2 linked regions of the Caenorhabditis elegans genome follow. Each later gene encodes a partner of the first gene's protein in a complex. Each region holds a gene or a part of one and is shown in the gene's direction. Other genes may lie near its edges.

Region 1 (6,891 bases):
GGGGCTCCGGCTTCACCTGCGGCACCGTCGTTTCCAGCTGGTCCGTCTTCTCCTGGGGCTCCAGCCTCTCCGTCTGGTCCAGCTGGCCCTGGGGCTCCTGCTGGGCACTTGATGCAGTCGTGTTGGGCATAGGCGTCAATTGGGGATGGGATTCCGTCGTGACTGTTGTCTCCGGCCTTTCCTGGAGCTCCGTCGTCTCCTGGCTGATCTGGCGATCTTACATGGAAAAATATTTGGTAAAAATCAGATCATAGGTACTCTCAGCAGTGTTGTCCAAAATCGGAACACGGTAGGAGGATCAGTGCACCACAACTCGGCTGGGACATAATTTGTATAATTATATTGGCACAACTGTAAGTTTATGTATGCTGAATTCAGAAAATCTAGGTACATATAACCCATCAAAAACTATTGAAAAGTGGCAAAAATTGACAATTTTTTGTAAAAATTCACAATTTTGAAACTCCTCTAAAATGGTAAATTTTGTAGTTAGACGACTCAAAAATACAAAATTTACTCAAAAACATTTAAAACATTGCCCTTTTTTAGAATATAGTAGTTTTAAACATTATTTGGGAGATTTTCCGAATGAGAAGCTAATTTCGGAAAAATTCGGAAATTTATAAAGCCGCTTTTCATTCGAAATTTATTTTTATTTTTAAAAAAGTTTGGGAATTCTCAAAAACCAACTGTCCACCCGTTCCATTTAACAACCCAATTCTCAAATGTCCCCTCTAAAATTTTGATAGTAGAGCTCGCGGAGCACATCAGCAAAAGTAGCAGCTCCCAGGAAATGTCCGAATCATCATCAAATGCCGTTGGGGTATGTCCAAGAGGATGGTGCATTGTAACAATTGACTGACGACGGCAGCTGACGGATTGAGGGGTCCCCTCGTGCACACACGGGAATGCTCCGGGAGCACACACACACACTTTTCCATTACTATTTCCTACGAGAGTGTGGTAGACGTGCCGTTATTATTTTTTTGTGTTTTTGAGGTTAAAAATTGCTTCCAAGTCTGTTAAAAATATATTTGATGGCCTAGTTTTTGTTTTCTAGGCAGCCGAACTTGAATTTAAAAGCTTGACATTTTTGGTATGGTGGCTTAGAATTTCGAAAATTCAAGTTGCTTTCTTTTAACTTAAAATTAAAACATTTTTTGCGAATTTGAATTAGATGGCCTAGGATTTTCTGGAATGTTTAATTGAAAGATTTGGTTAGGCCACACAATTTCAGTTGCTGGCCTAGTTTTGATGTTCTAGGCCACCAATTTTTCTTTCAACTTTTCCGATGAATTTCACACACGTTCCAAACTTTCAGTAGTCACACTCATATTTTGCCTCATCTTTTTCATGGCCTAACTTTTCGATTTCGTGGCCTAGAACTTTGTCCATGAAAAAGTTTAGGCCACATGCTTTTTTTAAAAATATATCCCTTTTTATTGAAATGATTTTAAAAAAGTTTTTGTTAGACCCAAGATGATTGAGCCAAATTAGAGAAATTTGAAGTTGGTGGCCTAGAAAATTTCTAGACTATCAACTTCACAAGGCTCTAACTTGGCTGAAAATTATCATTTTCAGTTTTTTCAAGCCATATTTTTTGTTGAATTTTTGTATTTTCCTTCAAAATTTTTATTTTGAAAAAATCAATAATTAGAGATATCAAATGCATATTCCGATTGTTTCGCACAAATCTCATAGTCATTTGCACAACGAAAAGGAATTTGCGCAAATTCCGTCAAATCATGCTCCAAATTGTGCTCTTTTTCTGCTCCAAAACTGTGATCCATCCAATCGGATAAAATGCTTCTGTCCGACCCGTCGTTCGCACAATGCGTCCAAATTGTCTTCGCAGAACTGGCTTCGGTGGCCTAGAAATTCAAATTTTCTTGTGTTGCTGGCCTAGGATTGGTTCTCTAGGCCACTAAAATCAGCTTGATTTTTTTTTAAATGTTGATGTGTCACGTTAAATTTAACATGAATAGAGCTTCACCCATTTTGGTTTTTTTTTCGTTGGTGGCCTATGTTTTTCTAGGCCACCAACTTTAAATTTTAAATCAATATATTGTCAAATTAAAGGGTTTACTCACAATTAGCTCTTCACAAAAATCTACTTGAAAAACTCGAATTGGTCGCCTAGAAAACTAAAACTAGGCCACCAATATTTCGTTTTTAAATTTTTCTTCAAATTTTCTAAATTTTTTGAAATTAGAAAAACTAAAATAGAAAAACTTACACTTTTGTCACTGTTACTCATTTTTAGCAATATTTTTTTCTTTGAATTCTTTGAATTTTTTTTTAGAAATAAAAAATTTTCCAGAAAATTTCGTTCTTTTTTCGTAACTTTTATTTTTTGGAAAACTTCTAGAATAACCCCACGTTTTTTAAAAATAATTTTATATTCTACAACTTAATTTTTTTTTCTAATAAAAATCCCAATTTCAGATGCCAATTGGTGTATAGAATAGGCGAAAACGAACGAAAAAGTGCAACAACACCATGTTATTCTCGGGCGCCTCGACTGCGAAACCGAAAAAAGACGAGAAAAAGGACAAGAAAAGTGATCGCGGTGAGTTTTTTGAAAAATTTTTAAGACAAAAAAAAAAAGAAAAATCCCCGAAAAATGGCATAGAAATTTACCTTTTTTGATTTTCCAGGCCACCAACATAGTTTTCAGCATACATTTATTTTATATTTGTTTCTGTCTTACCGAGACCTTCAATTTGACAGCCATCATGCCTAGGATCCGACTATTTTGAGTTGGTGGCCTAACTTTTCAAGCCGTGACCGAGAAAATGCATTTGGGCCTGGACTTTAGACGCTCAGATTTTTGAAATGTTCTTAGTTTTTATTCCTTGTTAGGAGTATTCAAAAATTCAAAAATTGAATTTCAAATAGGTTCTGGGAGTTTTAAGTTGTTGGTGGCCGAGGAATTTCTAGGCGACCAATTTTAAATTTTGCCAGTAAGATAAAATTTGTAGAATTTTAAAGTGAAACAGTAATATTGTGTGCTTCTTAAAATTTAATTTCATAAAATTTAGCAATTTCTAAAAAAGTAAAAATTCTAGGCCACCAACTGAAAAGTTAGGCCATGGAATAAAATTTCCAAAGTATGGCAATATTGGTGTCATGTGAAAGCTATGAACGTGCAGAAGTCAGTGAAAAGCATTGTAATAATGAAAAATTATTTTTGTGGCCTAGAAAAAGCAAACCTAGGCCAGCGAGTCAAATTGGGTGGCCTGAATTTGGATTTCTAGGCCACTAGTTAACAAATGCCATTTTTCTAGCAAACTTCTTGAAGAGAACTAACTGTTGCCACCAATACTCTGTTGAACATATTTTATGCTGATCTAGAAATTTTGCTGGCCTAGAAATCTAAAACTAGGCCACCAAACTGTAAATCTGCTCAAAATTCATATTTTTCGATTTTTCAAAAACCGATTTGTAGAGTTTTTGACGGAAAATTTGAATTTGAACGTTAAAAGCTATGAATAAAATTTTCAGACCCAAAAAATGAGCTCCAAGAGTGGGTATTCGTGCGCTGGGCCAATCACCTGCTCGGAACAGAACGTCTAACCGATTACAAAAGCCTTCAAGATGGTTCAAACGCGATTTTTGTCTACCAAGCAATTATTGGACAGACTATGGCTGTACTGGGTAATCCATCCGACGATTGGCCTAATGTTTTGCAAAATATCGGGGATTCCAAGACGAATCCGCAGGAAGTTATGGAAGGGCAGCAGAAAGCGGTGCTCTCAGCCTGGTGGCAGCTTGTTCAGTTTTTCTGGAAAAATAATGCACCCGTGCAGTTACGGGAGGAAAAGGTGAGTTTTTTGAGTGTAAAATCAAGTGGAAATCTTTAAAATTGATAAAGTTACGGGGGTTTGAAAAATTAAAAAATAAATAAAAAATTTTGAAAAAAAAAATTTCGAAAATTTTTTTTAAAATTTTTTTCCTAGAATTTTTTCTATTAAATTTTCAAATTTCAGCTCTCCGAAGCCATCAAACAATGGTGCATTGAAGTCATGAAATCATACGAAGAAATTGACGTCTACGACTTTACATCTTCCTTCCGGGACGGCCATGCCTTCAATTACCTCATACATTCTTATGAGTAAGGGTTTTTCATTAGAAATTAATTTATTGATAATCAGTTTTTCAAGAGTTTCTAGATTCCATGAAACATGGTTTTATTCGAAAAAAAATTCAAAAATTTCAAAAAAAAAACACATTTTTTTGGATTTTTTCAATTCTAAATTTTCCAAAACAACTTTTAATCTTATTTTTTTTTAATTCAATATCAAATTTAAATTCAACATTTCATTACAGTCTATTTGACACCCATAATGCCTAGGCTCCGAAATGTTCAAGCTGGTGGCCTAACTTTTCACTACATGGCCTAGAAAACTCACTGGGACTTCAAATTTGGAAAACATAGGCCCTGGAATTTAATATTTTAAAGTATAGCAATATGGGTGTCATTTGAAAGGTTTCGGCGTGTAGAACTCGAGAACCCCATCAAAAAGAATTTTAGAGAGGGTCTCGCCGCGAAAACTACAGTACCCATGTGATTTTCGTGGCGGGATTCAACTTTTTCCAAAACTAATCATGATTATACTCAAATGAAAGCTCTCAGTGCGACAAACACAGTTAATATAGTTTCGAGCCCGAAATCCTGAACATTTTCAGCCGAAAACTGATAAACCTCACAAAAACCGCCGAAATGAGTGCCATCGACAGGATTGAAAACGCTTTTGCTGTCGCTGAAAAGACATGGAATGTGCCAAGGCTTCTGAATCCAAAAGGTTACTATTTCTAACCAAAAAAAAAATCGAATTCTACGCTGAAAAACCACGAAAAAACTGTTTTGGGCAAAGTGGCTTAGTGGAGAATAGGTGCACAGCTACGGAAAAACATACCAGGGTTCGACCCCCCGCTGCGGTCAAAATTTTTGTTTCTCAATTTTGAAAGTTTTTGAAAATTTTTGAAATCATTCACTTTTTATTTTATTTGAAAATGAAGATTTTGAGCCGAGTTACAGCAGTTTTACGCCTAGGCACAAGATTGACTACCTGACTGCCTAGTAGGTTTTAAAAAACTGATAGGCAAGCGTGTAGGCAGGCAGGCAGTGATGAAGACTTTCCTTCCTACAAGAACTGTCAACACTGAATTATCTATTTTCCAGTAATTCACTTGAGTTAGAGCTTCAATGCGGTAAGTCAAAATGGGTTATAAGTAGGCGCGAAGGCAAGTAGGTAGGTATTACGGGACAATGAGATCATGAGAATGCCTACTTTTCTGGCGGCAAATATCTCGTAGCGAAGGGACCGGCGTCTCTCTTCGCCATATGCTCTCTCGCTGCCGCGGCCTGTCAATATTTTCGCGCCAGTAAATAGGCATTCATCTCATGGTCCCGTAATAGGTAGGTAGGCACAAGATAGGTACATAGGTAGGCATTCAAAAAAGTAGATAGGCACAAAGTAGACACATAGGTAGGCAGGCAACAAAGGGTAAAAAGCCTACCTACACTGATGTTTTCCGCGTAATTTGGTTTTAAGTATATAGGTAACAAGACGAGAGATCACAGATAAAAGAGACGCAGACAGATTGCGTAACCGCCCGATCAGGGAGAACCATATATCCCTTTTGTCCCCCTTTCTGTCTTTTTCTCTGCCACCCTCTCTCACTTTCCAATAATCTCTCGCCTGGGGGGTCTCTGTGTATCTCTAATTAAGATGTCCCCGTGTACCTGTAGAACACGGAGAATAGGAAGACAAACTAATCATTATATAGACTATCCGTTTTTCTACGACATACTACTACTACTACTTTTGATACTTTTTTTTCAAATTTTGAAGAATTTTGAGTATTTTGTAAAAATATTGAGTTCAAACCAGCAATGTAAAAATTAAAGATGAATAAAATTTTTGCTCACATTTCAAAATTCCCTAATTTTGGCAGTTTTTAGGATATTATGCTGGTTTTTAGCTTAAAATGAGCACAACAGCTTATATTACAATTTCTCATAAATTAGAATGTTTGAAATGTTACAGCTTTTTGGAAAATATAAAGTTATAAGTTAAAAAGGTTAAAAATTCAAAAAAAAATTCAAAATTTAAATTTTCGGAAAAGTAAAGTTTATTCAATTTTTTAGATATTACAATTTTTTTTTTTTTATCGTGTTCAGAATTTTCGAAAAACAATTTTTTACTCTAGATGTCTAGATTTAAAAAATTCTAGTTTTTAACTTCAATTTAGCACAAAAACCACTGAAAATTACGAAATAGTCTTTGTTTGTACATTCATTTACTTTTATTGTAAATTTTGTTTAAACAAACTGCAAACAATTTGAAGTTCTAGACAAATTAGAGTTTTGAAAAAAAATTTCGAAAAAAAAATTTCGTTTATAAATTTTCAATTTTTTCAAACTGCCATATTTCAGTCAATTTTTAAGATTTTTCTCTCATTTTTACCTTAAATTAATCGAAATTTCTTCTACTTTTCCTTATTTTATGCCTGTCAAAACACCAGACCTCTCCACTCAATTGTTTCCCTGATCTTTACTGTCAATAAACGATGTGTGTCCACTCATAAAGTGGTGCGAAATACAGAAATTCCTTTTTTTTTCGTTCTTCTTTCGCAGAATTTTCTTAACCATTCTATCCTTTTTTTGTATTCTTGAATACATTTTTCTGTTATCTTTTTATCACTATCATGGGAGATTTATCAGGAGACAAAATGACGAGAATACCGCGTCGAAACCGGAAATTTTGTTCACCCGATTTTTGCCACTTTTTGTCGCTTTTTTGCAAATTTTTGTCCCGCGTAAAAATTCCGGAAATGATGTAAATCTTATGGAAACAGATTCTGCAAAATTATGCTATCTTTTTT
Region 2 (8,004 bases), 2.1 Mb from region 1:
ATACGCTCGAGGTTGGGTCTGGAAGACAGACATCGCCTAGTCTTCGGTTGAACGTGGAAGGACAACAGATCGATTTCACTTTTGATACAGGCAGTGACATCACCCTTATCAGTGTCCAGAACTGGCAAAAGATCGGGAAACCGCATCTCGAAAAGGTCCACCACAAAATTTGCTGTGCCAATGGTACTGAAATCGCTGTCAAAGGTAGAGTGCTCGTATGGTTCAAAGTCAAAGGTGTCGAATACACTGAGTATGTGTACGTCTGGAACAGAAACAATAATCTGTTAGGCACCAGTTGGATGCGCCACTCGCCTCAAATGCGTGATGCTCTGGCCGTAATGGTTAATCATATATCCACTGTGGATAACTCGAAGCAAAATATGCACTCGTTCTCAAGGATTCCTACTGGATACAAAGATCGTGCTGAAAATGTTGAAAGACATGTTGTTGCATCTGCGCCGCGTAGTAGTAAGCGCCAGTATGTAAGATTTGCGCGCAATAAAGCGTTTCAGATTGGGCAATTGTGCCTTGCTCGGGTTCAAGGAGAGCACAATTTTGGCTGGATTTATGGAGTGGTTCAAAGACAATTGAACGGAGTACTCTATGAAGTACAGTTGGGATCGAGAATTCAAAGAATTCACACGAACCAACTCCGTCACATTTGCGGTCGCCGGAGCCGTGGGAATGACTATGCTTCATCATTCATCGAAAATCCGTGTAAATTGTCGCTCTTGGAAAACATTCCGCGCTCTAGTTGCCGCCAAAAATTTGTCGCTCAAGGTGTCCGTGGGGAGGGGAGGGAAGCTAATCCAGTTTTAGTTTCAGATTCTTCTGTTTTTGGTTTTAGTGCTCCAGATTTGTCAGCTTGTGATTCTGTTGGTTCTCGATCTGCTCGTGAAGTCGTCTCGTCGGTTGCCGGCAATGCTCGAAATGCTACTTGTGCAAATATAACTACGATTCATGTTACGGAGAGCAAGAGTTCGTTGAAGAAAAGCCACAGAAGACGTCGCCGTGTGGCAAAGAGTCGCCAATCATATACTTCTGGAAGTTCGCCAATCAAAGAAACCCATCTGGACCCCCTGCTGGAATCCGATGTTGCGAGTGACGGCGAGCGTTTCCAACCCGGCATCCTCCTGTGTCATTCTCTTCGACAGAGTCACCCACGACAAGTTGTGCGAGGATCAGCCCCAAACACTGATCATGCCTCCACTCGCCGCAGAGGTCGATATACCGCCTCTGGTCGTGATGCCCCTAGCCCAGGCATAATTTCTGGCTTTTTGTCATATAAGAGGGGAGATGTTGTGGACGGAACGTAAACCTGAACTTTATACAGACGTGACCTTTGGGTCATCATGAACTTATCGCGTAAGCGACCTCTCTTTATAATTCATTACTTCTTACACTTTCTTGTAATAAACTACTTCTCTCCTTGTCTCTCGCTCAATACACAACAAAGCTCAACGTCAAAAAATTGAGAAACAATAACTGGTGGAGGGGAGGGAGGGAAAAAGAAATCAGATACGGTCAATGATCTAAATGTTTGAAGAAAGATCAAGGAACAAGATTCTAAAATTATTCAATTTTTTCTCAAGTTTTTCAGAATTGTTTGACACAGAATAGAATAGCTTTTGGAAGAAAAAACATTGATGGATTTTCAGATGGATTTTCTATAGATTTTTAAAGATTGCATTTCTGCTGGGGTACTGTAGTTAGAGAGCTAAAGTATCTAGAGCAGCAATTGAAAATTAAATTTCATCACGAAAAACAGAACACCTAATAGTAATTTCAATTTATTTCGAAAATAGGAATTAAATTGGATAATATTTAACTTTCACTGTATAAAAAAAGTTGTAAAAGGGAATACTTCTGATTAATGTAGTAATTGCAATTGGTTGTAATATATCGTACGACACAGAAAACTACAACTACAACCAAATGAGAAAGAAAATAAAGAAAAGAATAAAGGATCAACTTGCTTCTTCTCTCTTCAACAATACAATTGCATGTGTTCGTCACGTAGTGTGTAAGTGTTCGTCTCGTGGCGGGAAGCCAACGGGATTCTTCGCCCAACACACAATCATAACCGATATAAATTCGAGGCACCAAGCTGAGAGTCAGATGGAAAAAGAAAGAGTGAGATGTAGAGAAAGAAGCGAGACTCGGAGTGCGCGGTAGAGTTCATCAGAGAGCATGTTAGGCAGAAGAGGGAGCAGGAGTGCCGTCGCACTAGCTCTCCGGCTTCATCCGACGGAGAAGAGAGCAGTTGAGAGAAGAAGAAAAACGAGGGGAAATAGAAGAGAGAGGACTCCTCTGCTGCTCCCACAGCCCAAATATTCTATTATTGCCCCTTTTCTTTCTGTTTCTTTGCTTCTTAGCATCTTTCTCTTCTGGTTTTTTTTCTCGCTTTCCTTCATTCCGCTACAAATCCTCCCGAATTTGAATTCAAATTTTTGGCATAAATTGGTATATGCAATATTCAACTTTACAGAGTACAATCGGCTCAATTTCGTAGTATTGCTCCGATTAGATCGGCGTCGTTTCGATGGCCGCCGTTCGATCCGGCCTGGTCGACATTTTTGTTCAGGGACAATGGCATCGTGTATTGGCTACTCTCGATCCAACTGCTATCACATTACAAGTAATTTTTTAATGATAAAATATTCCGAAAACTAGAAAACCACTGGAAATTATTGTAAAACAACTCATTTTTCGCGAAATTCTAAAAATAAATTGGATGGTTTCTAAAAACGAACAAAAATCTATATTTGAAACAATTATTGTTAAATAATTTAAATTTCGGTATAATAAAATATCATTCATTTTTCTAATGTGGAATGATACAAGTTGCTGAAAAATAGTGGTCGTTCTTATTAATACCAAAATGCGAAATTTTGCTATTCAAGACAAAAGAATACGGTACCGTGTCTCAACACGATCGAGCACGGGTTTCTGGCTCGACCCCTCGGTGTATTTTGTGCAAACACCGTCACGCGCAAATGCATACACTTTTTCAACGCGCTGCGTGAAAATTCCTCTTGCGATTTCAAAAAAATTTTCCCGCCATTTCAGCGTCCGATGGAGCGCGGGGTCGAGCCAGAACCTCGTATCGAGCAGTTATAAATAAATTTGTCGGAAAAGAATGTGCGCCTTTATGAAGTACAGTAGGCTCTAATCCTCACTATTTCGCAGACTGTTTCGTTTTAGAAAAAGCAGCTGCTGGAGATTGGGTCTGGAGATTACTGTAGGTTTTAAAGGCGCACACACATTTTTCACACCTTTAATCCTTTAATCTTTTTGTAAGTTTTCAGTCGTGTCGAGACCAGGCACCGTATTCTGGCGTCATAAAACATTTATTTTTTTACGAAATTACGTCGAACATAAGTTTTCTGATGCCCACGAACGAAATATATCATCTGAAGAGATCCATCTATGGAAACCAGAAACGGGAATGGGATCATATTACAAATAGTCTATGCTTCTTCTTCTTCTTTTCCTTTCGCCACATTTTGGCTCATTTTTCAAAAAAGGAGGCGAGTTGGCTATGAAAACTTATTAGTCGTTCTTGCTAGAAGAAAAAAGAAAGAATGGAATGAGGCTACTTAGAGATGAAGTTTGTATATGATACGACTTAAAAGGAGAAAACGGATGGAGAAAGGTATACTGTGACTACAATAATTATCTTCTTGGAGTCTATATGAACTCTTCGTTCCGACATATATTCTCAAGTATTAAAATGTGTATAACTCTTTTGCTTTCTTATCTTTCTCATCTCTGGTATGACAGTCCAACTGAAATTTTGGGAAAAGACAAAGAAAATATACCATTGCTTGTCAAAAAAGAAGTCGTCATGTCATCTACTCCCCCTTCTCCAAGTATTCCGTCAATCGAAGCTCCGGCTTTTGACAAATTGGTATGCCAGCTTGCATGATTTCATTTTACTCAGTCTCCTCCAAAAATTACATTAGCATGTGTGAATTTGTTTGAAATTGTTTAAAATTTGGTCGGGAAACGTGGAAGGGGATATTTATGAGCAAGGGAAGTGAAATCCAAAGAGAAATGGGTTCAAGCTGTGATGAATAAATATACTATTTTTCAGACAATGGAGCAGAATGAGGCTGAAGCAGAGAAACGGACAGTTCGAGTTGTGAAATATGATGGAAATGGATTAGGAATTTCAATTAAGGGAGGCAGAGACAACAACATGCCTATTGTGATCAGGTATGAATGAACTTGCGGAGATTTATACATCTCGTGTGCCATTTCGTGATTTTACGTCAATTTTGAAATTTTGATCTATGATAAATAATTTTTAGTTTTAATGACAAGGGCAATTCTCTAGAGAAAATTTTTATAATAACTGAAAAATGGAAGAATGGACTAGCAAACCTCGTACACAATCGTGTGTCGATTTACTCAGCGTGTGTACTCCCCGTGGAGAAGCATTTAATTTTTTCAGAAGATTTTACAGTTTTCGGTCAAAAACAGAAAGTATTTCCCGAATTATCCAAAATTAGGAATTTAAGGCGATAACTGTGAAATTGTTTGCAAAAATGTACACTTCTCCTCGGGCAGTACACACGATACGTAAATCGACACTTTTTTTTCTGAAATAGAATGTTTAATTTAGCAATTAAAGAACAAAATTAATTTCGATTGTAGCAAAATCTTCAAAGGAATGGCAGCGGATCAGGCTGGAGAACTATTTCTTGATGACGTCATTATCTCTGTGAATGGAGAAAACCTTCTCGATGCTTCACACGAAGAAGCTGTAAGAGCATTGAAACGAGCTGGACGGGTTGTTGACTTGCAAGTACAGTATAGAAGAGAGGATATGATGCATCGGGAAAATATTGTGGAAAATGTTGAATGGGATGATGATATTCGGGAACGAGTTAGAACAATTGGTTTAAAGCTTGCATATGTGGCAAGAGCTGGAATAGATGCAGATGCAGAAGGTAGAATTCTAGAAATGAGAAGTCCATCAGGAAGGTATTCCCTAGCAATGAGATGTTCAAGTAGTGAAGAAGCAGATGGATGGTTTGAAGCTTTACATGCCTGTACCACGTGTCTTCTGACTCAGGCACTGGCTCAAGTCAATATAATGCTCGGTAACAACCCCCAAGTGAGACATATGGGTTGGATTGCAGAACAAGTATCAGAAAATGGAATTTCAATGTGGAAACCTAAATTTATGACGCTTACGAATAGTGAGATCTTGTTCTATGAAGCTGTTCCACAGCTGAAAGCAGAATGGGCAGAGCCAAGACTAGTACGTCCTCTGGTGGCAACAAGAGTCGTTCAGACAAGTTCTCGAACTGCGCCAGTAATTAAAGGTCTCACTGATGTGATCTCTTTCCGTATGAGAACTGGAACTCAACAAGGTGTTCGGACACATACGATCCGGGTAGAAACTCATGCAGAACTGGCACGATGGGTTCGTGCAGTAGTGATCGGTGGATATGAAGCATGTCTTTCTACATCTCAAGTCTCTGCTCCTTGTCTTTGGCGAGGCGAATCATGCGAACTAATAGTTAATCTAGACAATGGAATATCATTACTTTCGTCGACTGGAGAGGTGAGCTCATTGGAATAATTTAGCAATAAGAAAGTGATAAACGTTTTCTAGATTAAAACAAAGATTTATAACATTTAGAGAAGCTACATTTTCTTAAAGCTTACAATTCAGGTACTGTGGCAACATTCGTTTGAAACGATTCGCGCCACCGGCGATGATGGTGGTCGTTTTCTCTGGGTCGATTTTGGACCACCACATGGTGAACAGGTAAAAATGGATTTTATTTTAACCTTAATTTCATACTTATAGAAAAAAAACGGATTTTTTTTGTGTAAAGTTTTTGAATAAAAAAAAGGATAGGCAACAAAACAATAAAAGCAGATCAACAAGTAATATTCAAAACAAAAGAAGCATAAATGAATGAAAAATTTAGGAATTGGATTTGCTAAATTCCGCAAAGCCAGTCGTGTTCATTCTTCATTCATTTCTCGCCACCAAGGTGTATCGATTAGGATTGTACGCGTGAAGCATCAAAAGGTTAGTTCATTGGAGCTCCATATGCATCAGGCATTCGCTCAATGGAGAATCTGTGATTGACAATGTACATGATCGGAACTCCTGGGATCTTTCGGATGCGGCGCTTCAGATCACGATCACAAGTGGCCACAATATAGCATTTATGCTGAAAATTATATTATTTTTTTCATTTTCAGATTCGTTATTTGTTCAAGTTTGCCAAACAAAAAGACTGCAGCAATACCACATTCCGTCTCCTGCCTCTTCTCGTCATAATAGATTTTATTCGTTTAAGATTTGTTAGATTTTATTAAATGAAAAACAATGAAAAATTATGAATAAACGAACCTGTGTAACTCTTTGAACCAAACAATCATCAGCATATGTTCCTTTGTGCTCACACTTCAGTCTCTGCACACGTGGATCTTTCAGAACTTTCAGAGCAATTTTGAATCTTCTCACTTTTTCCAATTCAGCCAATACACAGTCAGTTGCGTACACAATAGCTGAATTATTGTGATAAAATACAAGAAAACGAAAGAAAGTGTATGACTCACTTTTCGCGAACAGACAATCCATGAATCCTTGAAACATGTCAATGCGATTTTTGACGGCGAAATTCACAAAATTGGTATCGACAATAACGTGAAATGGTGGACCCAGCTGTGTATTGTATTTCATAAACATAGCGGATGAGATTTTTGGACTGAAATTATGAATTATTATTGTCTGGACACATATTCGTACGAATAAAACTTACGCACGGACCAATTTGAGTTCTTGTTCATCTACTTTCGGTGTTCTAATGACTCTTTGTTCTTCTTTTCTGAAATATTGCGTTTTAAATCAAGGTTATTCGATAAAATTATCGTTATCCTTACATTCTGTTGTCTGTCTTTTTGACAAGCTTGTTTACAGCGCTTTTTCTGGCGTTGGACTTCAAGCGTTTACCCATTTTCTGTAAATTAGAACATATATTTGTAAATTAGCACATATATTATCGAAGAAATTTGGAAAAAACGAAGAAAATCTTTAAAATAAGAATCTCGAACAAAATATCGAGACCCGAAGAACTCGGGGGATGTCCAATTGGGGGGATTACCAACTCGGGGGATTGGCCCCGCCCACAGAACCGTGGCTTGCAATACGCCCATTTCTGCAACTGCCGCACGGTTTTGAAACTGTATTTTTCTTGTTAATTCTCGCTCTATTGAGAAAAATACAGTTTCGAAACCGTGCGGCAGTTGCAGAAATGGGCGTATTGCAAGCCACGGTTCTGTGGGCGGGGCCAATCCCCCGAGTTGGTAATCCCCCCAATTGGACATCCCCAGAGTTCTTCGGGTCTCAAAATATCAGAAAAAATTTTTGCGAAAAAGTCCGCAGAGTTGGTGCTCCGTGTATGCACCAGTCAATGCATTTAATCTGACGCACAAACCAGCATTTCAAGAAATTGCATTCAATGTGCATCGCATATTCAAATTTCTGTCAGCTATTTATGTTTTTATTTTATTGCCCCGTTTCTTTTCTCCGCGGACTATTGATTATTGACGATGTGGAATAATTCATACACGAACTTTTAAATCTTAACGCCAAGAAAAAGTGCAAGAATTCAGTTTAAAATTTGAATAAAAAGTAAAATAATATTTTCGCGTTGTCATGTTTTCAAAGTCTGCTTTTATTTTTATTCTTAACGAGAACACTTCCTTTAATAAAGGAATGTCTAAAAAGATTTTCAATTTCAGAAAATGACAAAGGAGACTGACAAAAAGCCAAAAGAACGTCCGAATCAAAGAAAAGTTGCATTTCGAAATGAAGCAATAAATGCATTAGTAAATACAGATGAGGACCAAGTCACATTTTCGAAAGCAATGGAAGTTGCCAAATTAGATTGTCAAAAGTGTCTTCTACACGATATGCATAGTTCAAAGTAAGCATTTTTATTAAACAAACTATAATTAATTTTGTTTTTATCG

Evidence for each region.
Region 2: dys-1 (region 1) and stn-1 share a complex: the UniProt entries of both Caenorhabditis elegans proteins name them as parts of the dystrophin glycoprotein complex.

The regions. Positions count from the first base shown.
Region 1 is NC_003279.8:11,553,401-11,560,291, reverse strand, and holds the start of dys-1 (Dystrophin-1), read left to right. Parts: upstream 1-2,440; 5' UTR 2,441-2,499; coding exon 2,500-2,569; intron 2,570-3,504; coding exon 3,505-3,824; intron 3,825-3,989; coding exon 3,990-4,114; intron 4,115-4,689; coding exon 4,690-4,805; intron 4,806-6,891. Other genes in the region: F15D3.9 (SAM-dependent methyltransferase), read right to left, coding at 1,647-1,871, 2,237-2,257. UniProt on the Caenorhabditis elegans protein: Plays a role in cholinergic transmission and as a functional partner of dystrobrevin (dyb-1), necessary for muscle maintenance. Required for neuronal positioning. May play a role in the localization of slo-1 near dense bodies in the muscle.
Region 2 is NC_003279.8:9,498,780-9,506,783, forward strand, and holds stn-1 (Syntrophin-1), read left to right. Parts: upstream 1-2,488; 5' UTR 2,489-2,542; coding exon 2,543-2,638; intron 2,639-4,096; coding exon 4,097-4,218; intron 4,219-4,659; coding exon 4,660-5,575; intron 5,576-5,623; exon of another isoform or gene 5,624-5,686; coding exon 5,687-5,782; exon of another isoform or gene 5,783-5,948; coding exon 5,949-6,041; 3' UTR 6,042-6,052; exon of another isoform or gene 6,053-6,053; coding exon of another isoform or gene 6,054-6,197; intron 6,198-6,228; 3' UTR 6,229-6,379; downstream 6,380-8,004. Other genes in the region: F30A10.9 (PIN domain-containing protein), read right to left, coding at 6,054-6,197, 6,380-6,537, 6,589-6,737, 6,792-6,857, 6,913-6,986; Ubiquitin carboxyl-terminal hydrolase usp-48, read left to right, coding at 7,777-7,958. UniProt on the Caenorhabditis elegans protein: Adapter protein that binds to and probably organizes the subcellular localization of a variety of membrane proteins. May link various receptors to the actin cytoskeleton and the dystrophin glycoprotein complex (DGC).